Arabidopsis thaliana: one gene and its partners. The protein of the gene in region 2 purifies or fractionates together with the protein of the main gene of each other region. This does not show direct contact. Each region holds a gene or a part of one and is shown on either strand. Other genes may lie near its edges. The genes, in order: EMB2296, SYP21, AT1G76810 and AT2G25670.

The links.
Region 1: the proteins of SYP21 (region 2) and EMB2296 purify together in Arabidopsis thaliana (affinity purification with mass spectrometry, with the first as the bait; one large-scale study listed by BioGRID). This does not show direct contact.
Region 3: the proteins of SYP21 (region 2) and AT1G76810 purify together in Arabidopsis thaliana (affinity purification with mass spectrometry, with the first as the bait; one large-scale study listed by BioGRID). This does not show direct contact.
Region 4: the proteins of SYP21 (region 2) and AT2G25670 purify together in Arabidopsis thaliana (affinity purification with mass spectrometry, with the first as the bait; one large-scale study listed by BioGRID). This does not show direct contact.

Annotation. Positions count from the first base shown.
Region 1 is NC_003071.7:7,834,547-7,839,237, reverse strand, and holds EMB2296 (Ribosomal protein L2 family), read right to left. Parts: upstream 2,172-4,691; 5' UTR 2,088-2,171; coding exon 1,648-2,087; intron 1,415-1,647; coding exon 1,078-1,414; 3' UTR 762-1,077; downstream 1-761. Other genes in the region: AT2G18025 (uncharacterized protein), read right to left, coding at 242-276, 353-422.
Region 2 is NC_003076.8:5,531,831-5,537,346, forward strand, and holds SYP21 (syntaxin of plants 21), read right to left. Parts: upstream 3,466-5,516; 5' UTR 3,323-3,465; coding exon 3,114-3,322; exon of another isoform or gene 2,763-3,113; coding exon 2,669-2,762; intron 2,466-2,668; coding exon 2,329-2,465; intron 2,101-2,328; coding exon 2,026-2,100; intron 1,764-2,025; coding exon 1,606-1,763; intron 1,508-1,605; coding exon 1,407-1,507; intron 1,312-1,406; coding exon 1,246-1,311; 3' UTR 1,016-1,245; downstream 1-1,015. Other genes in the region: HSF3 (heat shock factor 3), read left to right, coding at 1-667; BPA1 (binding partner of acd11 1), read left to right, coding at 4,212-4,217, 4,925-5,034, 5,194-5,263, 5,487-5,516. UniProt on the Arabidopsis thaliana protein: May function in the docking or fusion of transport vesicles with the prevacuolar membrane.
Region 3 is NC_003070.9:28,830,455-28,839,220, reverse strand, and holds AT1G76810 (eukaryotic translation initiation factor 2 (eIF-2) family protein), read left to right. Parts: upstream 1-2,472; 5' UTR 2,473-2,708; intron 2,709-2,837; 5' UTR 2,838-2,910; coding exon 2,911-4,834; intron 4,835-4,919; coding exon 4,920-5,482; intron 5,483-5,569; coding exon 5,570-5,677; intron 5,678-5,770; coding exon 5,771-5,871; intron 5,872-5,966; coding exon 5,967-6,057; intron 6,058-6,144; coding exon 6,145-6,255; intron 6,256-6,352; coding exon 6,353-6,418; intron 6,419-6,540; coding exon 6,541-6,600; intron 6,601-6,682; coding exon 6,683-7,240; intron 7,241-7,339; coding exon 7,340-7,459; intron 7,460-7,582; coding exon 7,583-7,699; intron 7,700-7,789; coding exon 7,790-7,855; 3' UTR 7,856-8,319; downstream 8,320-8,766.
Region 4 is NC_003071.7:10,927,651-10,933,044, forward strand, and holds AT2G25670 (uncharacterized protein), read right to left. Parts: upstream 3,441-5,394; 5' UTR 2,970-3,440; coding exon 2,649-2,969; intron 2,260-2,648; coding exon 2,004-2,259; intron 1,792-2,003; coding exon 1,412-1,791; 3' UTR 936-1,411; downstream 1-935.

The DNA of each region.
Region 1 (4,691 bases), on a different chromosome or scaffold from region 2:
TTTTCAAGGTTTTCCGGCTAACGTGCTTCCCAAGGTGTCTAAAATGGTGAATTTTGTTGGATTTTGAGCCTTTGATCAAACTTGCAATAAGTGTGATGAAGATGAGAACCAAAGCAACAGAAGAAAAGAGAAGAAGCGTCGGAGATGAGACTCGTGAAGAGAGGAGTCAACGACAAGAGAGAAGTCACGATACTGCTTCTTGTATTAAGTTGCTCCCTTTCTTTGCTGGTAGAAGCCAGTCTCAACTCTTCTGTACAGTTAGTGAAAATACAGGATCTGTTCAACATATATTCAAATGTTATAGATTTGGGCCAAACAAACAAACTCAAAGATAACCAAACAGCTCTTTTACCTGTATTGGTTACCCACATCAGGACCTTGTCCAAACACTTGTCTAGAATCATGACTAGAGCAGAATACATCTAAGAGCCGACGATAACCAATTATCCTTGGACCATATTCAACCTGGAAGACAATTATAGAGCAAGAGCAACACAAATCTAGCTATTGGATCAGATACTAAAACCAATTCCTCAAAGTCTCAAACGCTAAAAATTGATGGACAAAGACAATTTAGGTAAATCTCAATCACATAAACACAAATATTACACATTACCAAAACTCAGCTAATCAACTATAGAATCAGACTTGTATTACGCACATAAATGTCTTTGAGTCCTCTGTGTCATTTTGAAGGTTTGCTGCAAGATTCGTTTTTAAGATTCCTTGTAATTTTTTTTTAGGTACTTCAGATTGCTTCAATTCGACTAACACCAAAGACTTGATTCTTTGTGATAGCAATGCGGCGGGCTGCTGTTTCGATGAAAATCTGCAATTCAACTACCACTTTAACGATCACGAGAATTGGTTACGTTGTTCTTACATAATTTTCATATGTACAAAATGAAAACTTTGCGTATTGAGAGTATGCAATGTGAATAACATAAGCTTTTCGAGAAGAGAGAAAGGTTTATCATAAAAATCTTTTAGGATTTCAGAATGAGGTTCAAAAGGAAACACAGACAACAAAACTTGAAACATAGAAAACAAGAGAAACAAAGTTTATCTCTTTTAACTCTAGTCTGCCTTGGCAGCTGAAGCAGCAGCTTGACCTCTGAGACGACCAGTCCTCCTTGCAGCAATAAGACCAACCTTCTGTCCAGGAGGTGCATCACGCCTAACAGTACTGGCGTGACCAATGTGCTGATGGTTACCTCCTCCATGAGGATGCTCCACTGGATTCATAGCCACACCACGAACCTTAGGCCATGAGTTCCTCTTCACACGGTACTTGTGGTACGCGTTTCCTGCCTTGAGCATCGGCTTCTCAGTTCTTCCACCTCCAGCAACTTGTCCAATCATAGCCCTGCATCCACTTGGGACAATCTTCTTCGAACCCGATGGCAACTTAATCCTGCGCAAACATATACTCAAATCATCATTCACAAGACTACAACAACTATACCACAAGCATTTCTAATTAACGAAATGATTCCATTAACATCATCATAAACTACACTAAATAACCAATGATACATAAGCATTTTCTAATTAATCTGATTAAGATCATCATAATCTACAACAAACAATCAACAGATCTGAAAATGTTTATAAGCCTCAGAAGATTTTTGGATAAGAGAAACAAACCTAGTAGTGTCGCTGTCAGGGTTGTGAGCGATAACAATGGCGTAATCACCAGAAGCTCTAGCGAGGACACCACGATCACCGACGTGATGCTCGACGTTGCAGACAACAGCTCCTTCAGGAATAGATCTAAGAGGGAGAACATTTCCAACGACGAGAGTAGCTTTCTTACCGCAGTACAAGAACTGACCGGTGTACATACCTTCGGCGGCGACGAAGAGCTCCTTTTGTTTCTTGAAACGGAAAGGATGACGGAAAGTGACACGAGCAAGAGGAGCACCACGACCAGGATCGTGGATGATCTCCGTCACGACGCCCTTGAGGTAACCATTTCTCTCGCCGAAATCGAGGCTACGGAACTTAGCCGGACCTTTGCGGTGGTGAGTGTGGGATTTGAAGACGGAACCCGCACCCTTACGTTGAGCTCTGATGACACGACCCATGGATGCTCTCGACGGCGAAGTTCAGATATTAGGGTTTTGAGATCCAACTTGAGAGTGAGGAAAATGAACCCTTTTTATTCTGCAACCTCATGTTTGTTCTAACCCTAATGGGCCTAAGTGGATCTTTATTTGATATGGGTCAGAAGAATCTAAATGGTGTAGTAATTGTTCAAACCCATACAAAAGACCGAGTTAAGAATCACAAAGGCAGGCCTACCAAACTAGACTAATCCGGATGCTAACCAAATCATATTAGAATTTTTCTTAGAAAAACCAAGTTAAAAAGCCCAACCCAGATTTATCCGGATGCTAACCGAATCAATATCAGAATAAATCATATGAATATAATTACACGATACCAGAATAACTAAATAATTGTTAAGAGAAAAATAATAAAATGAATGAAATATATGAATAATAGATATATATGATTGAAAATTTAGTTTTAGTAGATTCATCAAGTTTTTTTTTTTATCATATTTTTAACACGTTATATTACCGAATATTTTTGCTGAAAATCTGTCGAAAAGTTGCTTAGTATTCTAACGGATTTTTGACAAGTCACAACGAAATATTTTGGTTGGAAAGCCGTCAAAAATATTTCATCAGATTTAGTTTAGTCAGAATATCGTTGGAAATTATTGACGAATTTTTGATCATTGGAATCCGTCGAAAATTTCGATGATTTTTCAACGAAAAATTTATCGTCAAAAAATAATTAAAAAAAAAAAAAAAGTCAAATATATCCGACCTTTTATTTATCATCAGAAATTTCGTCGAAAAAAGTTTTATTTACTTATAGTTATATATACAGTATAATCACTTTTCAAGAACGTAAATTCTTAATAAATACTTTGAATCGTAAAAAGTAGCAAAATCATGTTTTTCAAACGTTAAAACGTGAACAAGTGGTATATTATTCATAATACTTAAAAAAAATGCGTCTCATGATAGTCTGAGTCATATGATAAATATATAGATTGATATATAAAATGATGATAATGCAATTCTAATTTTGGTGATGGTATATCACTAGCATCTAATAATCAATAATGTCAACACAAGAACATATTTAATGCAAAAACCCTCTCCAAAATAACAATAAACAATTCTTTGGAGAACACATAATATGGGCAAGCTAGCTTCTGAGCAGACAAATACGGGCAAGCCCAAATTGGATGTTACTAATACTAACCCACGGTTTGTACTTTGTCCAATCCAGATTCCGATTTCAGGTTAACCCGGCGAAAACCGAATCAAATTAGAAAACTCATAATATTTTCTTAAAAGTTAAAACTGATTTGAACTTTAGAATAAGTTAATATCAAGCTGATTATAGATTTTTGAGATACATATGATAAAGGTATATGTTCTATAATATGATGATGATGTATGAAACTGGAAATAATTATTAAGCAACTCGAGTTCGTCGTCGATGATATATCCACTAGCATCTATGATGTCAACAATAACATATTTAATGCAAAAACCCTCAGAAGAAACAATAAAAAATTGTTAGAAGAACACACAATATGGGCAAGCTAGCTTCTGAGCAGACAATGCATTTTTTAAATTGTTATTACATATAAATTGTCTCGTGAATACGGTATGGCAATTTAAATCCAGATATATGATAGTAATGTGCCTTGAATAAAGTCTATGAACATTTCATAAAATACAAAAGTTAGAGATGAAAAAAAGTGCGAGACTAGCTCATCAAAAAGAGGAGAGACTCATCAAGTAGACTGGTATTAAGGAATGAAGAACATTAATGTTAAGTGACATATTTTGCAAATGATACCAATCTACTTTGTTAGGACATGATGGTTTAGCGGTCTATGTACCATCTTGTCAAATACACATGTATTTCTTCTTTTACGAGAAACATAATGGGACATCAAATTAGTTCATCTATATTACGGAAGATCTCTTCAATTTTTTTTGTAGCTTAGGTAACAACTATAAATTCGCACAGATACAAGTATATGTAGGGACTCTGGTTGGTAGGACCATAATGATCCATCACAAAAATCTGACTCAATATAATTGATATATACACATAAAATCTTTTGAAATACTACTTGCTACGTCTACATGTAAAAGGAAATGAGTCAAATTACGGTGATTGACACACCGACAAATAAATATTGAATACACGTATAGCAAAACTTTTGTGTTGAAAGAAAACAAAACAAATTGTTTTATGACTCGAGTGTTTTATGATTAATCTCGTAACCTGTATCTTAGTAAAAGAGAAAGTATTACTTTTATAAAGATGCTAAGTAATATTTCTATCATTACTTTTGTCAAATGATGGACACCGTGATACTTTGTCATACGAAACTATGTCTTTGTAATTCTAAATTTTTCGAAGAAATAGAAAGCTGTTTACACATGATTAGTTAGTCTTAGTCACAAATTAGGTTAAGAACGTGAGTTATGAATTGTTGGACCATTCATGTACTAATTTTTTTTATAAAACAACATTATATATTACGCGGATTTTAACTCGAACGATGATAACACATAAACATCGTTAGCACAAACCACCAAAACTATTGAGGATTCTTGATTGATCTTAACCAATAAAGTTTTAGAAGTTAA
Region 2 (5,516 bases):
GATAAACGAAGCAGCACAAAATATGCTTCGACAGTTCTTAAATACTAGTACCTCACCTCGGTATGAATCAGTTTCAAACAATCCTGACAGTTTCCTATTGGGTGATGTTCCCAGTTCTACCTCTGTAGACAATGGGAACCCTTCAAGTAGAGTTTCTGGAGTAACATTGGCCGAGTTTTCACCCAACACAGTTCAGTCAGCAACGAATCAAGTACCCGAAGCAAGTTTGGCTCATCATCCTCAAGCTGGTCTGGTTCAGCCAAATATAGGTCAAAGTCCGGCTCAAGGAGCAGCACCTGCAGACTCTTGGAGCCCTGAATTTGATTTAGTTGGATGCGAGACAGATAGTGGAGAGTGTTTTGATCCAATAATGGCTGTTTTAGATGAGTCAGAAGGCGATGCAATTTCTCCTGAAGGTGAGGGCAAGATGAATGAGTTACTGGAGGGAGTCCCTAAGCTGCCCGGAATCCAAGATCCATTCTGGGAACAGTTCTTTTCTGTTGAACTCCCAGCGATTGCAGATACAGACGATATTCTATCAGGATCAGTGGAGAATAATGACTTGGTATTGGAACAAGAACCAAACGAGTGGACCCGTAATGAACAACAAATGAAGTATCTTACTGAACAAATGGGACTGCTTTCCTCAGAAGCACAGAGGAAATAAAGGTAAGAACATCGTTAAGTTCAAACATGTTTCTCTGCATTGTTGTATATCTTGAGAGTTATCAATTGTCTCTCACAATGTAGATTTTCAGGGGAGGTTGCAAAAGGAGATATGAAGGAACGAGGAATATATCAGATGGTGTGTATACCCTTTACATTTTTACTTAAATGAAAAAAAAACAGAGAGAAGAAACATAAAAGATTTACCACCAAGCTTGTGAATAGTTAGTAGAGATCGGTTTTTGTGTTGTTTATATTATACTTTTGTGTGAAAACGTTCATCTTGTTCAATTATCATCTCACTAGTACGGTAATCTGTTGGTCACTGACCGGTTAATGACCAAAAAATCAAGATTATTTTCTTATGTTTATTTCTTTTGATCATGAAGATCCTTATGATGGAGTAATACATTGATTAAACATTCACACGATGAGAAGTTAAGATCAATTTGGTTGAATGGGGAAGATGGAGTATAAAGAATCTGTACATTAGATATATATCTTTAATGGGTCTTTGTATAGTTTCCATAGATTCGCTTGATGCTTGAAGATTGAAGCTTGGAGTTATATGTTTGATGCTTAGACCAAGACAACGATGATGACAATGAGTAGAACAATCCCAAAAATGAGAATAAGTAGGCATGTCTGCAACAAAGTAAAAGACAACAAACTTAGCTTAAGCTGCTAAGAATATGAAATCACAGAACTGAAAATGAGAAGAGAGTCTGTTTAGTCCGTACCAAAGAGGAGTTTGATCTTTGAGTTTTAGCTGCTTTTCTGAGTTGAACAGTGGCTTGTGTAGTTGCAGCATGTGAGTTGTCAAGGTTAGAGCTGATGTCATCTGCCAGTGCACATTATAGTTTTTTTCTGAGACTTTAAAAAGGCAAAGAGAAAACGAACAGGGAGATTTACAATTTCTGATTGTTTGGAGTTACTTACCGACAATATTTCCTTGATGGTTCACCATAAGAGCTAGATCTTTGAACATGCCATTCACATCACGAATCTGGTCTTCAATTTCTCGAATCCCTTGCTCTCTTTCCTCAATAATTGCTTCATTGAATGTTATCTCGTTATCTAAAAACACCACTTCTTGCCTGGAATGAGAATATAAAAAGTTAGCGAATAGCAAGCATCTCCCTGCATCCAGGGACATAACCAACTTCGAAAAATTTATTAACCTATTCTAAGGCTTCTATTAACAATTCAGGCTACAGTGAGTGCCAAGTGTAACGATGGTTTGAATTTGAACTCTCGAGAGCAAAATGCATGCTAGACTAACATTTGGTTTATGCTTATAATTGATCAAATGAATTAGTAAAATAACATGCTAGCATATAATCAAATCACACTCCTCACCTTCTTGATTGTAGAAGAAGAGCTTGCTGCTGGGAGATCCTTAAAGATTCAGTATCCAGTTCAGGTGCATTATAACTGCATGGTGTGGCATGACAATGAAGCATGTGTAAGTGAAACTCACATTCCACAAAATATCAGAACAATCCTACGTTCAAAAATTCTTTTGTACAAAACAACAATAATAACATGCGAGTATATAATCCGGAGACTTTTTTTCTTCTCATTTAGGAAACAACGAGATTCATTTACCATGATCTTCTGTTTTTTAACAGGTATTGAAACATAACTGGTCAAAGTGGTTACCTGGTAGGTATTTCTTTTGTGACCACAGGAGTATATGTTATTTCTCTTTCAGCTGCAAGTCTCTGAGCTTTCTGAAACTCTTTGAGAACTGATTGGAAATCTTTTGCCAGTTTAGCATCAGCTATCTTCTTAATTTGCTGCAAGAATACAAACATAACATCAAAACTAGAATACACATATCATCAATCATGTAAACAATTCTCCCACTAAATGAATAAAATGGTACGATTCTGACAAAATTAAACCAAAATAAAACTGGTTCAATAGAAAATGTTCTCTTAGACACTAACATTCCATAGCATCGTAAGGGAATGAAACAAAAAAGTAAGCATTTGCTTACACTAGCTGATCCATGAAGGTCGGCTTCGCTAGCTTCCTTAAGTTTAGCTGAAGTATTCTTCACCAATTCGGATATCTGTAACCTTGTCTTTTGCCTGCCAACAAAAGAACCTAACACTTTAAAACAATTCACAGAACAAATAGATGAAACCAATCTAAAAAAAAAACAATTTCTCAATACACACACACACACACACACACACAAAAAGCTCATTATTTGCAATGTTGTCAGGCATTATTTGCAATGTTGTCTCACATCGATCAGCAAACTCAAATTTGTTCTTCGGTTAAGGGAAAATAATGCAGGATTAGCTTCAAAACAATTAGAAAACTTTTTCAATTAAAAATTGAAATGAAATCGACCAAAATCAATAAGTAAAACCAAAACCCTAATCAACAGAGATTTAACAAAGAGAAGAAGAGTGTGATTAAGAATTGCTACTGACAGCTTATCTCGTAATTCAAGAGTATCTTTAGGTGTTCCGATCGAATTAACGAGGCGGAAGAAGGAATTGACAGCCGTGCTGATCCTGAAAATCCCGGCGGCGACCTCCTGAGATGGATCCCCACGAGACGAAGGTCTCTGTTGTCTCCCACCGGTAAAACGATTCGGCGCCGGAGATCGAGTACCAGCTTCGAGATCTTGGAAACTCATCGTCTCTTCTCTCGAATCTCTCGAAATTCTCTTATCTCTATCTCAGGGGAACAAACGAAGACGAAGATGATGGAAATGAGTTAGGTGAATTATAAGTTTTCCCAAAATTTAATGTTAATTTTTGTTTTATAATTTGTATAAATCATTTAATCTCATGTGGTCCGCGTGAATATGGTGGTGGAGGGAATTTATTAATACGTATAAATTATTTGGCGGTGACACGCCATTGCGAGGGAAGAATCCTGCGTGTCGTTGTTGACCTCACCTGCCCTTCCGTGTAAAATTGAAACTCGGTTCGAGTAAACCGGACCAATTGAGTGGGTTTGCAGGATAAGGATTGGTTAAATGATTTTGGGCTACATTGGAGTTTAGTAAAAGGAAAAGAGAAGAGTTGGGCCAAAAACAAGGAGAAGTCCAACTTTTTTGTAATTACCAAGTTATCATATTTTATGACTGAATTAATAATTACAGTAATCACTTTGATACATAAACCACTTTTTATAGAAAAACAATGATATATTTTTGTTGATAAAAAGTAAAATTTTTATGTATTTTTTTCTAATAAAACATAAACTTAATAATTGTGTTACGAAACTCCTAACTTTTGTTTTGAACTGAAGAGGGAAAAAATAGAAATATATACTAAAAAAGTGAAAATATTAATTGTTGGAAACAATTAGGGACTAAAATAGGATTAAAGGGCGTAACGCAAACCCACACGTTGAGTGTGAGGTGTCATATAAAGCAAAATACACTCTTCCCTCTCTATCTATCTACGCATCATCGATCTCGAAGTACGTTTCGGTTTTCAGGCCAATCTCTGAATCTGCGTGACAAAAGCAACAAATTACATATCTCTCTCTCTGCGCGACTTCGAAGATCAACATCCATGGCGGTATGCTCTACTTTTTTTTTGTGTATAATTTTGTTTTATGCGGAAAAGGTTTAGGTTTCCTCTGCTGGTAGATATTGTTGCGATCCATTTGTTTATCGGGAAATTTTCTCAGGATTGATATTTTTGGCTATTGATTTGATTTCTTCTTCAATTTGGATGATCTGTTGTTTGATTGCTGCACTTGCCGACATAATATCTCCAATGCTATTTGGACGAGTTTGATGATTATTATTGTCGTTATTAATTGATTCTGTATCTCTGTGTGATCTGTATTCGTGCAATTATCTCTATTATCTCCTTGATTTCTCGGTTTTGGTTTTCGTTTATCGTAGTAAATCGCGATTGTGTTATTCTCAATTTGGAACCGAATCTCGCTAGCCAATTTACTTTTAGATTCCTCCATACATTGTCGATTAGTTTCCTTAATTGGTAGCCTTCATGGTTCATTCGAGTTTTCTTTTTGTATAGTGAGATGATGACAGTCATCTTCTAAGCCACTATAATATTATCCCTTTACTTGCATAATTGTATAATCTTGTGATAAATCTAGGCTTCTTTGAGTTTGAGCTGATTTGATTAAAATGGGACTTTCGGTCGATTAGATATGCTTGGATACAAAAAGTAGTTGTACTGTAAACATTCTCATGAAACACCTGTTTATTGTTTTCGTTAATGATTCTTTCCCTTTTGATTCTTTATGATGACAGTCACAGGTAAGGTCAGTAAAAGTTGGCAATCTCTCTTCAGGAGCAACTGAGCATGATATTAAAGAGTTTTTCTCTTTCTCTGGTGAAGTTGAAAGCATCGATATCCAAAGGTTAGTGATATTGTTTCCTTGTTCTTTGATTTCAAAATTTTGACATTTAAAGCTTTTTTTGATCAATTAACTTCCGAAGCTTTTTCTCAGCAAATTTAGATACAGTTCTCTTAAACTTACTGACTCTGAGCTTTGTTTTTGTTTTCTTTTTCTAACTAGCAGTAACGAGCATAGTGCTTATGTCACATTTAAAGAAACTCAAGGAGCAGAGACTGCTGTGCTCTTATCTGTGGGTTCACTCTTATCTCAATATTATTGTAGTAGCATTCAACTCTTACATAACACTGTTAATTTAGTAATCAATCCATGTCTATAAACCTTCGTTTAATATGGTTATACTTCTCTAGTCCAGACAAAGTATCTCTGAGTATTTATAAGTAAAATTAGTTTGCTTACAACTAATATTTGGGACCATTTGCAATTTGCATTACTAACAAGGGGTGTTATTTCAGGGAGCGAGTATTGCCGATCAATCAGTCATC
Region 3 (8,766 bases), on a different chromosome or scaffold from region 2:
CCCCATTCTCCTGAGCTACATCAGCAGGTCCTCCTGATTTCTCGCCTAAGTTTGCTGACTCTAGTAAATCAACCTTTTCAGTGTCTGCTGAACCAACTTCACCTAAAGCATGGTTTTCTTTTGGCTCTACCTCACCTTCCACCTGGACAGAAGTGTCATTGCCTTTCTGGCGAGATGATTTTTTCTTGTTGGCATAAATGGGGCGCTTTGAGGAAGTAGCATCATCATCATCGTCTGCAACAGGAAGACCTCCACCAGCAGCAAGCAGCTGGTTCTTAAAAGCCTCCCTCTTTTGAGCTTCACTCTTTTGCTTTGCAGTTAGAAGCTTGCCCTCTAGCTTCTTCCTCAACAGTTTCTCCTTTTCCTTTTCCTTTCTTTTACGCTTAGCCTCCTCAGCTTGAGCATCAAGCTCTTCCTGCCTGCGGCGCTCCTCTTCCTCCTTCCTCAATTTTTCTTCTTCTTCCTTCTTTTTTCGCTCTTTGGCTTCTTGCCGACGTGCAAGAGCCTCTTGAATCTCTCTAACATGTTTAGGAATTTTCTTCTCTGCTGCTTTACCCTTTGCATCCTTCTTCCTCGGCTGTAGCGGCTCAGTTACTGATTCTTCTTGTTTTTCCTCCTTAGCCTCTACAGAAGAGGTTGCCGCAGCAGCAGCAGCTGCTTTTTTTTCCTTTTCTTTCTCCTTCTTCTTTTTCTTTTTCTTGGCTGCAGCAGTCTCAACAGTCTCCTCTTCTCCTTCTCACCGGTATTCTCTACAGGTGCAACTGGCTCAGGCTGAGCTTGATCTTTCTCTTCTTCGGAAGCAGGCTTTCCAGCAGCAGGAGTTTCTCCAAGTTCTGCCAGAAGCTTGTCCAAATCATCATCTTCCTGAAGTGTCCTTCCACTCTTGTTCTTCTTCTTATGTTTCTTACTCCTTGCCGATTCTACAAGCTCCACACTCTTAGAATCAGAAGTTTTAGATTGACTACTTTCTTCATCACCTATTGAGGCCAAGACACTGCTGCTCTTCTTTTTAGATGATTTTTTCCTACCTGAAAACGTGATATCATTATCCTCTGCTTCCTCCCTGTTATCTTCATCAGCAAGCAGGGCAAAGCTAACAGAGCCACCGTCTTTTTTACCTTTCGACTTCTTATTATTCCCTACAAAAGCATTATCCGGAACAACCTCTTCCTCCACCGCAAACTTATCAGCAAAATCATCGTCGTCATCCTGCTGCTGCTGCGTACCCTTCTTATTCCTTTTCTTACCCTTCTTCTTCCCAGTGATAACAACCTTGTTTTCCTCAACTTTAGGCTCCTCAAGACATATTGAGTATTCATCATCATCAATTTGAACAGATTTCTTATCAGATTTAGAACCAACGAGAGATGACGCAAGTGGTTGCTCATCATCTCCACCTCGAGAACTCGGCTCCTTCCGACCCATGGATAAATTACAGAGCCGGTTCCAAATTCTTTCCGGCTAATCAATCAATCCAGGTAAAAAAAAATTAGTTTTTTTTGAGGATCGGCACAAAGGACACAGGAGATGAGAGAATCGAAGAAGCTTACCTTACGTGAGTAATCAAAGCGAGCCGTTTGAGAGAGAGCAAAAACTCTTACTTCATCACTAATCTAATCCTTTTTTTAATCTAATTTCTCAACTCTAATTCCAATCCATTATTAGCCCAATTATTAAAGCTCCTCTCCCAAGCCCAATATTCAAAACCCAATTTACAAACATTAATCATTTTCTTCTAACAAGCCCAAATTCACAAAATCAAAAGCAAAAGAAAAAGGAATAATATATCTGCCCCGTTCTCACCTGAATGGCTGAATCAATCATAGACAGTCGAAAAGTGTTTCTACTAAACCACACAAGCATGAATGTTATGCCTATCTAACAAAAGTCAGCTAAAGAAGCATGTGTCCATTGTTGAGGATGGAGAGAGATGAGTCAAGATCAGAGATAAGCCAAAGGTTCATGTTCCATGATACCTGAGCTGGAGTGAGATCATACTTCACTGACTTGCCCGAAACTAGAAAATTTTCAACGACCGCCACGACTCTCCGAGAGAAACCCGGTCTCAAGCAATCTCCCTTGCACGCGAGTGGCAATCCTAGGTCTTTTCAAGCAATTACGTTTTCTTTTGTTCCTAGAGAAACGAATCGAGAAGCTCATGCCTTAACAAAGCTCTCTCTTAAAAACTTCCAAAAACAAAAAACATTGGATGCGGATATGTTTTAGAAAAGTATTTCAAACAAATCATAACGCGAGAAGATTATTTTTTTAAATGAATACTTTAAACAGCTAAATCATGCTGATTTCCCTTATTTTAGTCCATATTAATAAAATTTATGTGTCTTAATTATATAAGTTAGATTTCAGTATATTAAAACGTGAAAATTACAACTGTTGAATCCCATTCAGAAATTACATTTTATAACAAAGAATATGACATATCTTTTATTTTAAAAGAAAAAATAACACTATCGAGAAAGAAAACGGAGAAAAAAATAGTATTTAACAAACGTCACAATTTTTTTTTATTAGAATCGGTAAAATCTACACAGCGTTTAGCTCAACCCTAGGAAGCTTCACGCCGGTTTCTCAAAGCTTCGCTATTTCTCGGTTCTCTACTCTCTCTCTCTCTCTCTCTCTCTCTCCGCGCCGCGCTCTCTCTCTCTAAACTTAGCTCAGCCTATCGATTAATTCCTCTCCGGAATAAGGTAAAGCTTCTTCGATTCTCTCCTCTTAGCCACAGTATCGCTTCCTCGTCTCTCTTGTGGTTTCATTTTCTAAAAGGATTGTGTTGTGCCGATCCCAGAAAACCTAATTTGTTTCCGTTCGAATTGTAGGAAATTTCACCTCGATTTATTGATTAGTCGGAAGAATTCGGAACCAATTCTGAACCAGACCTGAAATTTTCCAATGGGGCGGAAGAAGCCGAGTGCTCGAGGTGGAGATGCTGAGCAGCAACCTCCTGCGTCATCTCTCGTTGGTGCTACTAAATCTAAGAAGAAAGGTGCTCAAATTGATGACGATGAGTACTCAATAGGTACTGAGTTGTCTGAGGAGTCTAAAGTTGAGGAAGAGAAGGTTGTTGTTATCACTGGGAAGAAGAAGGGTAAGAAAGGTAATAAGAAGGGTACGCAGCAGGATGATGATGATGATTTTTCTGATAAGGTTTCGGCTGCGGGGGTGAAAGACGATGTTCCTGAGATAGCTTTTGTTGGGAAGAAGAAGTCGAAAGGTAAGAAGGGCGGTGGTTCTGTTAGCTTTGCCTTGCTTGATGATGAAGATGAGAAGGAGGATAATGAATCTGATGGTGACAAAGATGATGAGCCAGTTATAAGTTTTACGGGTAAGAAGCATGCGTCTAAGAAGGGTAAAAAAGGCGGTAATTCATTTGCCGCTTCAGCTTTTGATGCACTTGGTAGTGATGATGATGATACAGAGGAAGTGCACGAAGATGAGGAAGAAGAGTCTCCTATCACCTTCTCTGGTAAGAAAAAGAAGTCATCTAAGTCTTCGAAGAAGAACACTAACTCGTTTACCGCTGATTTGCTCGATGAAGAAGAAGGGACTGATGCTTCAAACTCTAGAGACGACGAAAATACAATTGAAGATGAAGAGAGCCCTGAAGTAACGTTTTCAGGTAAGAAGAAATCTTCTAAAAAGAAGGGCGGCAGTGTTTTGGCCTCAGTAGGTGATGACTCAGTTGCAGACGAAACTAAAACTTCTGATACTAAGAATGTGGAGGTTGTGGAAACTGGAAAGAGTAAGAAAAAGAAGAAGAATAACAAGAGTGGAAGGACAGTACAGGAAGAGGAAGATTTGGACAAACTTCTTGCAGCACTTGGAGAAACCCCTGCTGCTGAAAGACCTGCTTCATCTACGCCTGTAGAAGAGAAAGCAGCTCAGCCTGAGCCAGTTGCACCTGTGGAGAATGCTGGTGAGAAGGAAGGAGAAGAAGAGACTGCTGCTGCGAAGAAAAAGAAAAAGAAGAAGGAGAAAGAGAAGGAGAAAAAAGCAGCAGCTGCTGCTGCAGCAACCTCTTCTGTAGAGGTTAAGGAGGAAAAACAAGAAGAATCAGTAACTGAGCCACTACAGCCGAAGAAGAAGGATGCAAAGGGTAAAGCAGCAGAGAAGAAAATTCCTAAACATGTTAGAGAGATGCAAGAGGCTCTTGCTCGTCGGCAAGAAGCTGAAGAGCGAAAAAAGAAGGAAGAAGAAGAAAAATTGAGGAAGGAGGAAGAGGAGCGCCGCAGGCAGGAAGAGCTTGAGGCTCAAGCTGAGGAGGCTAAGCGTAAGAGAAAGGAAAAGGAAAAGGAGAAACTGTTGAGGAAGAAGCTAGAGGGCAAGCTTCTAACAGCAAAGCAAAAGACTGAAGCTCAAAAGAGGGAGGCTTTTAAGAACCAGTTACTTGCTGCTGGTGGAGGTCTTCCTGTTGCAGATAATGATGGTGATGCTACTTCCTCAAAGCGTCCCATTTACGCCAACAAGAAAAAATCATCTCGCCAGAAAGGCATTGACACTTCTGTTCAGGGGGAAGATGAGGTAGAGCCAAAAGAGAATCAAGCAGATGAACAAGATACTTTAGGTGAAGTGGGTTTAACAGACACTGGAAAGGTTGATTTAATAGAGTTAGTAAACACAGACGAAAATTCAGGACCTGCTGATGTAGCTCAGGAAAATGGGGTTGAGGAAGATGACGAAGAAGATGAATGGGATGCGAAAAGCTGGGGTACGGTCGATCTTAACCTTAAAGGTGATTTTGATGACGAGGAGGAAGAAGCTCAGCCTGTGGTTAAGAAAGAATTAAAGGATGCTATATCAAAGGCGCATGATTCAGGTTAGTATGAAAATTTAGTTCTTTGTTCTTCCTAGTGTTCCATCCATTGTCTGATTTTTGTCTAATCTTTTGCATTTCTACACAGAACCTGAAGCTGAAAAACCAACAGCTAAACCAGCAGGTACAGGCAAACCACTAATAGCTGCCGTAAAAGCTACACCTGAAGTGGAAGATGCTACACGGACAAAACGTGCTACCCGAGCAAAAGATGCCTCTAAGAAGGGTAAAGGCTTAGCTCCAAGTGAATCTATTGAGGGTGAAGAAAATCTCCGCTCTCCCATTTGCTGCATCATGGGTCATGTCGATACTGGTAAGACAAAGCTGTTGGATTGCATCAGAGGAACAAATGTACAGGAAGGCGAGGCTGGAGGTATTACTCAGCAGATTGGTGCAACATATTTCCCAGCTGAAAACATCCGAGAGAGGACCAAGGAACTGAAAGCCGATGCAAAACTCAAGGTGCCAGGTTTATTAGTTATTGATACACCTGGCCACGAGTCCTTCACGAATCTGCGGTCAAGAGGTTCAAGTTTGTGTGACCTTGCAATTTTGGTGGTGGACATAATGCATGGGTTAGAGCCACAAACCATAGAATCTCTAAATCTTTTGAGGATGAGGAATACAGAGTTCATTGTTGCATTGAATAAGGTAACACTAATTGTCATTCTGCGAGGATGGGATTTTTTTCTCTGTTGCAAAACCTATATGGAAAATAATATCTTCACCTTCCTCCAGGTGGATAGGCTATATGGATGGAAAACATGCAAGAATGCTCCTATCGTGAAGGCAATGAAGCAGCAAAATAAAGATGTTATAAATGAATTTAACTTGAGGCTGAAAAATGTAAGTTATAGGTCTAGAGTTTCTTATTGTATGGTTTGAGCTATCAATTTGTGTACATGTTGTTCAAATTATGTTGTTTCATTGGTATTCCAGATTATAAACGAGTTCCAGGAGCAAGGACTTAACACTGAGCTTTATTACAAGAATAAAGACATGGGAGACACTTTCAGTATTGTTCCTACTAGTGCTATTAGGTATGAATCTCTATTTACTGTTTGTAATATACAGCGTAACAGACAAGTTATTCATCCTAAACGTAATTGGGTAACGTTGGTTCTTGATATTACAGTGGAGAAGGGGTCCCAGATCTCTTGCTGTGGTTGGTTCAATGGGCTCAGAAAACAATGGTTGAGAAACTTACATATGTTGACGAAGTGCAGGTCTCTTTCCTTTCTCTTTAGGTAACACTTGTTTCTGCAATACTTCAGCATGCGGATTTCTGATCTTTTCTTGAAATTGTTGAACAGTGTACTGTACTTGAGGTCAAAGTTATTGAAGGCCATGGTACAACGATTGATGTTGTGTTGGTAAACGGTGAACTCCATGAAGGTGATCAAATCGTCGTTTGTGGGCTACAGGCAAGTAAAAAACTTATGATCCAGACCCGAACAAGTGATGGCACTGGGTAGACATAGAACTTTTCTAAGTGATCATATTTTCTTCCTCATATTTCAGGGACCTATTGTCACAACAATTAGAGCATTACTGACCCCGCATCCAATGAAGGAGTTACGGGTGAAGGTACTTTCTGATTTCCACTTCATGTGTTTTATTACTGTTATTCCCCAGAAATATGGTTCATGCAAATCACTTCCTAGGTTCTTTTTCTATACACAATGAGAATTCCTGGTCTGATGTTTCAGGGTACTTATCTGCATTACAAAGAAATAAAGGCTGCACAGGGTATCAAGATTACTGCCCAGGTGAAATGGACTTCTATATTCTTTATTAAATATACTTATGTTTAGATCACATCCTGAACCATTTTTGGGTTGTGTTTAAAAGGGCCTTGAACACGCAATTGCTGGTACTGCCCTGCATGTGGTTGGACCTGATGATGACATCGAGGCAATTAAGGAGTCGGCTATGGAAGATATGGAGTCGGTTTTGAGCAGAATTGACAAAAGTGGCGAAGGAGTTTATGTACAAGCGTCTACATTAGGGTCATTAGAAGCATTGCTTGAATACTTGAAGTCCCCAGCTGTAAAGATACCTGTAAGTGGTATTGGCATAGGGCCTGTGCATAAGAAGGATGTAATGAAGGCAGGAGTTATGCTCGAGAGAAAAAAGGAATATGCTACAATTTTGGCTTTTGATGTGAAAGTTACTACAGAGGCTCGTGAACTTGCAGACGAAATGGGAGTTAAGATCTTCTGCGCTGATATCATCTATCATCTATTTGATCTGTTTAAGGCTTACATTGAGAATATCAAAGAGGAGAAAAAGAAGGAATCAGCCGATGAGGCAGTCTTCCCATGTGTCCTTCAGATTTTACCTAACTGTGTGTTCAATAAGAAAGACCCAATAGTCCTTGGAGTTGATGTCATCGAGGGTATACTTAAGGTATCTATGCTTTTAATTTCCTACATTCTCTGTAACTCTCACCCATGATGACACAAGTGCTAGGGTTCACACTTTCTTATCTGTCTTGTTTGTTTTCAGATTGGAACCCCCATTTGCGTCCCTGGCAGAGAGTTCATCGATATTGGCCGAATTGCCTCGATTGAGAATAACCACAAGCCTGTTGACTATGCAAAGAAGGGCAACAAGGTGGCAATAAAGGTAATAATTGGATCATTCTGTTTTAACAAGGTTGCAAATCTTTTGCTTACAGAGAAGAAAAGAGTTATGTTTGCTGCGGTTTCAGTTTCACGCCTCGTAATCGATGGTTTCTTTGGTATACAGATTGTTGGTTCGAATGCTGAAGAACAGAAGATGTTTGGAAGGCACTTTGACATGGAAGATGAGCTAGTGAGTCACATATCGAGGAGATCTATCGACATACTAAAATCTAACTACCGGGTAAGTGGAGAAAATGAGCTTGTTTCCCCTTTTAAATCATCATTTTGATAGGAAAACTGATGTAGATCAAAAACCCAAACTAATTTGCAGGATGAATTATCGTTGGAAGAATGGAAGCTAGTAGTGAAACTGAAGAACATCTTCAAGATACAGTAGGAGATTCAAATGTCTACTTTGGAGCTTGAAACACTCTCACATGCCTTGTTATGCCGTGTCTGCGTCGATGCAGAACAAATAGATTCGTCTTCCTGCTTCTAGCGGAGAAGCCTTCACAGAAGATTTGAAAGAGAGACAAGAGAGAGTTTTTGTTTTTGGTTTATTTTCTTTCTTTTTTTGGTCTTTCTCCCTGAAAAGTGCTGAATAATTGGTTCATGAACCTTCATGCTGGCAAATTGCAGGGGAAAGAAGAGCCTTGGGTCTTGAGATATACCACATATCATCTTTATATATGCTTTTTTTGACTTATTTCCATTTTTGTTGACAAAGGAAAATATTCGAATAAATGTTTTTGTCCAATTACTATGTTCTCTGTGGTGTCAAATCTTGAGTTTCCGTTAAGGGAAAATACTTACAAAAATGAATTATCACATCTAATATCAAGTTACAGTCATGAAGTTTTGGTGAAAGCTCATCTTCGTTTATCAAAATATACGTATATTATAAGATTATTTGTTGAAAACAAATATTTTGATTTCGTAATAATATGGAATGTGTAACTAAAAGCAAGCTGCTCCTCCTTTTATGGAGATGTGAAAAGCATGAATGCAAATAATACATAAGATTTGTAGTATACGACAAGAGTTTTAAAGCAGCTCTCTCTTTTATACTTTATAAATGTTGTCGAGATCATTGATATGTTATGTTCATTGTTATGAATGATATGTATTAAACTCTGGTCCATTGCTTTACTCTATGTAATATGATACTTTATATTTCCGAAACGTTTTATTTCTTCCGTCTATTCGTAAATGTTTAATTGGTTCACAATTCTAATTGACTACTATTTAGTTTTTCTTTTCGTTTTTGCACTAAAAAGAGTCGCATTTGATAAAATCAAAAAATAAATA
Region 4 (5,394 bases), on a different chromosome or scaffold from region 2:
TATGCAGAGGATAGGGAAAGGAAGAAGAAGAAAGAAGCAAGCTGCGTCTAAAACTTGTGAATTGTTACAACTTATTAATGTGGTTCGGTTCAACCGCAATAAACCACTCACGAATTTGATAACGCCGTACCAATAACTCTAAACCCGATTCTCAAAGAGAACCGAAATATCTTTCCGATTACCAGATTAATCCGGTCCAACCATGAGGACATTGACCTTTCCAAATTTTTATCAATTTCAAAAATTCACAATATGAACATCAAATCCTTATTTAGGTAATACTTTATTTATCCTATAGTAAATATCATTACAAAAATTCGACTAGATATGTACATATCAAAAATGTGTCATATTTTATACATAGTTAAGTAAATTATTCAGTGTATAGTACATATTCAAGACGATATTAATACATACAGCTGATTTGATTTGCATGTTGATAACAAATTAAAGATTACAGACGAACATATTTGACCAATCTAGACAAGATATATTTTTGTGTTCATAGTTGACAAACACATATTTTTGGGCAAAACGGTATGCTTCTGAACAAGAAGAAAATATAAACATCAAAAAAGAGTAACAACTGATTAACATGCTTCTTAACCGCATGAGAAAGGAAATTCAATAACTTGATCCATATCACCATGTGCGTGGATTACACAACTCAACTGTGATCAATGATAAAGAGATTTTCTGATCAAGGGAAATGGGATGGTAATAATGGCACAATAATGGATATGATCATGCATGCATTCATGAACTAACATTGAGAATGGTTCAGAGTTATGATAGTTAAAGAAAGCACTTGGGCCGACTGAATTAGCAAAGGAACTTAATTTAGGGGTTCAAATCGAGACTTTTAGGTCGAGTCAAGCACGTTTAAGTGTGGTTAACGAAGCACAATCAAGTGCGGTTGTGGTTCAGGTGGAGTCTAAATATTGATTGATGAACTAGGCATAGTAGACTAAATACAGGTTAATGTTATTATTCGTGATTGCAAAAATAAAAATACATTACCCTCAAGTGGGGAATCACTTTGGAACATATAACCAAAAAAGATTTTGTGACAAGGCATGAATCAAAACACAGGCAACTGAACGAAAAAAAGAAGAAAATAACACCATCGAACCATACATAAGAAGCTGATTGAAGACATAATGAACCTAAAAAAGGTCTGATATTAAGAAAACAAAGGTGTTTCAAAAAGAAATGAAAATCTCCAGAGAGTAGTTTTGTCTTTAGCCTGTTCATTGTAATAAGACTAGAAAAAGGATTCAATGTCTTTAACTCTAAGAACCAGACCCTTCAAAAGATTTATTAGGACAGAGACTCATATGAACAATATACGGCGAAATACATGTTCATATTTGCATTTCCATCAAGATCAAAATGGTGGTGATTCAGGATTTTACCGCACAGGCTGTTGGTTATAGTGATTCTTCTCCTTCTTCTTTGCCGCGGCCAGCTTCTTACGTCTTGCAGCTGCCTCCTCCGCAGCAGCTTTAGCTGCAGCATCCACCTCTTTGCCTGACTTCTTCTTCTTCATGGATGCAAGCTTCTTTATCCTTTCCTTGACGTCAATTGGAGATTCTTCCTCAGTTGGTTCAGACCCAGCAGCTTCATCTACAGCATCGGCATTGTTGTTTGCTTGTTGCTCTTGAGATTCTTTTACCTCCTTCTGCTTATCCTTCTTTTTCTTCTTTTTTGATGCCTTTGACTCCCCACCTGCTGCATTCTCCTTCTTCTCTCCCTCTCCATTGACATCTTCTTTCTTTTCTTGTCCAGCCTCTGTAAAAAGAACATGCAATGTATCGGAATTAGCAAAACTGCTAGACATATCAAACATGCTGATTTTCTCAGCAAGATAGTGACACTACACAAAACATTAATACTATTAAAGAGCACAACTGTCTGGAACTAAGCAATATCAGTTGCAATGGCTGTGCCAATACGTGATAAGTATTATTACAGATGTCAAAATTGATTGAAGACAAGTGTACCTTGAGATTCCTCTAGGCCATTGTTCTCCTTGGGGGCAACTCCAAAATCAGCCAACAAAGCTTCAAGCTCAGCAAGTTCCTTCTTTTTCCTCTCTTTCTTGGAAAGTTGCCTCTCTGCCTCTTTAGGAGGTGCAGGAACTTCAGGAGCTTTCTTCACCTCAGGCTCTGGATGAACCTGTACCTCTGTTTCCTGTTCCTGCTCTTCCTCCACATCATCATCACCTTCATCAAGAATATCTTCCTCACTTTCACTTTCCTGACAATCACACCAAGATAATCCCATCAGCAACCAAGATAATCACACGCAATCTGGACAAGAACTAACGCTTACACAAGTCAACCTACACAACCATGTGCTACCACAACATAGGTAACACACAAATGAAAAATATTCAGGAAGGATAAAGCAACATGAGCAACAATAACAAATCCTCTTCTCTCAGACAATAGACACCACACACAAACAATTTTTGTAATAACTAACTAGAGCCATAAGCATAAGATAAATTAACATTAGAACAGAAACCAGCTCTCAGAATTCCCAGTCACAAAGAGAATCGTTAACCAATAGACACAGAACCATCATATCCATTCTCAACCAATTTAGGAATCGCAACAAAATCATAAAATGTTTAGACTTCTGACCTCAACATGAACGTCTTTGGAATCAGTATGGGAAGGCAGAGAAGTACTCCAACCAGACTGAGGAGGAGCAGTGGTTGCATAATAGTCATCATCGTCGTCTTCATCATCAATATCAGCCCAAGACTTAACTTTCAAAGGCGTAGGAGCCCAATAGACCTGAGGCTCAGGCTCCTTCTCTGGCTCTCGTGACTTAGAAGACCCTTTGCTCTTCCCTGCCTTGTCAGACTTCTTCTTCTTCTTACGAGTGTCCAATGCTGCAAACAAATTAGTGCTCTGGATCGTGATCGATCCTTCATCTCTCCTGTTTCCACCTCCAGCCATCTTAACAACGATTCAGCTAAAACCAAGATCGATATAAACCAAACAAGCTTTGATTTCACACCTAGAAGTCTCGACAGATATACAAAAGGAACAAAAACACCTAAAAAGATAAAAAAAGCCAAAACAGAGACAAAATATGAAATCTGGGTTCGTTCGATTTCAACGCAAAATCAAATCTTTAAATGAAAATCCTATACTTTTGACTAACCACTGATTGCCCAGATAAAGAACAGTAACACCCGATGGATGTATAAACTAGGGTTCCAGATGAGAAATCATGGATCAAATCAGAAGAGAAAGAAACTGTTGTTGAAGCGATTTATAAGAGGAGAAGATAGGATTAGGGTTTTGGTTCTTCTTCCCTAATAGAGGATGAGGAAATCTGGATGTAGCAGCCGTATAGGTTAGGGCTAAATCGACAAAAGGAGATAACGCGAGGAGAGAAGCCATTAAAAAGCTCGTGTCTCTGAATTTATATTGGTTATGTTAATTTACGTTTTGATACCTAACAATTTATGTTTTCTTGGTTTTGATCAATGTGTTTTAGGATGATACAGTTTAGCCCAAACATTTCTGGGGGTTAAAAGAAACTATTGGAAATACAAAGGATTCAAATTGGGAAAATAGTAAAATACTTAAAGAAACTGTCATGTTCTTCAAATTTTTGTTCCAAAAGTTAAATAGTTTAGCCAATTTTTTTACATAAACTAACTTGAGAAGATTCCACAAAGGTTGTCAAAAATTCATATAAGAACCGAAATAAATTTGCTTAAATCTATAAGAAGTAACTCGCAAATTCTTGTTAACTTATTTCCTGTGAATTCTCGTTGTATTATCTCGTTAAATTGTTTCCCGCGAAATTTTAAATAAACTTATATGATACGTCATTATGTGCATAAATTATAACTTTGCTTAAATCTATAGAAAATAATTCAAAAAAGTCTTTTTAACTTATTGAAAAATTCTTTTTAATGCCCTTTTCATGATGCACCTTTTCAACTCTACCCTTTTGTTTTATCCATTTTTATTTCTACCTTCTTTAAATTTTTAATGACCATTTTACCCTTATTTGGAAATTGTTTTAGGTTAACAAAATAAAATATTAATATTTTTTCACCTAAAATATTCCAAAATAAATATTCCGCCAAAATTTTCCCGCCAAAAATTTTCGAAAAAAAAATTTCCGCCAAAATTTTGTTTTCAAAAATATTTTTCCCGCCAAACTTTTTTTTTGGCGGGAAATAGATTTACAAGGGATTTTAAAAGAGTTTTAAAGATTTACAAGGGATTTTAAAGAGGTTTTATAAGATTTACAAGGGATTTTAAAAGGGTGATTTACAAGGGATTTTAAAAGGTTTTTAAAAGATTTACAAAAGATTTTAAAGGGATTTAAAAGATTTACAAAGGTCTTTTAAAGATTTTCAAAGGATTTAAAATTGTTTTAAAAGGATTTTAAAATATTTACAAGGGTTTTTAAAAGGGTTTACAATATTTACAATGGATTTTAAAGGGCTTTAAAAGATTTACAAATGATTTTTAAAGATTTTTAAAGGGTTTAAAAGTGTTTCAATTATATGTTTCTATTGGATGAGGGTAATTTGGTCATTTTGTTCAAGGGAATGGGTGATTTTAAAAATGGACAACATAAAAGGGTATTGTTGCAAAAGGGTAGTAAAAAAATGGTAGTTTTGCAAATCTCCCTAACTTATTTCCCGCAAATTTTCGTTATATTATTTAGTTAACTTATAGTCCCCGTAAATTTAAATAACTTATATGGTATGTCATTATGTACATAATTTATTTACTTAATTAATTTCACTTATCACATTGACTAAAGTGATCAATTTGGTTAATATTCTCTTATCAATGACTATTTCCAGGACACACAATCTAGATTAGGAAAATAGTAAAATACTTAAAGTTTGGGTTCAAAGTAAAATATTATAAGCCCAGATAAACCAGCTTGAAAAAGTTTTACAACGCCATTTAACCAAATAGGCTGAAAACAGTGCGGCAGCACTAGCTATAGGTTGCGAAAAATTCAAACACGAATCGAATTATAACTATGCTTAAATCTATAGAAAGTAACTCGCTATAATAAGAATGCCCTTAATCAGGCCTCTGCATGTACCTTTTTTATTTAATCGAAGATACCTTTTTCGATGCCTTCCCCTCATTTTATGATTTAAGTTATATGTTGAGCTCGTTAGTCTTTGTTTTGAGATTTCCAAGTTTGGTTAGGTTCTACCTATATCTATTTGTATGCAGAGTGAATGATCATATCTAAAATGGAACATTGTTGGGAAGATGTAGGTGGATTTCTTTTCAGTTTGTTTTGCCCTATGGTTTTTGAAAGTCCCCGGATGATTTCAGTCAAAGCAATTTGGTCCATCTCTTCACTTTCTTTATTAATAAGTAATCACAA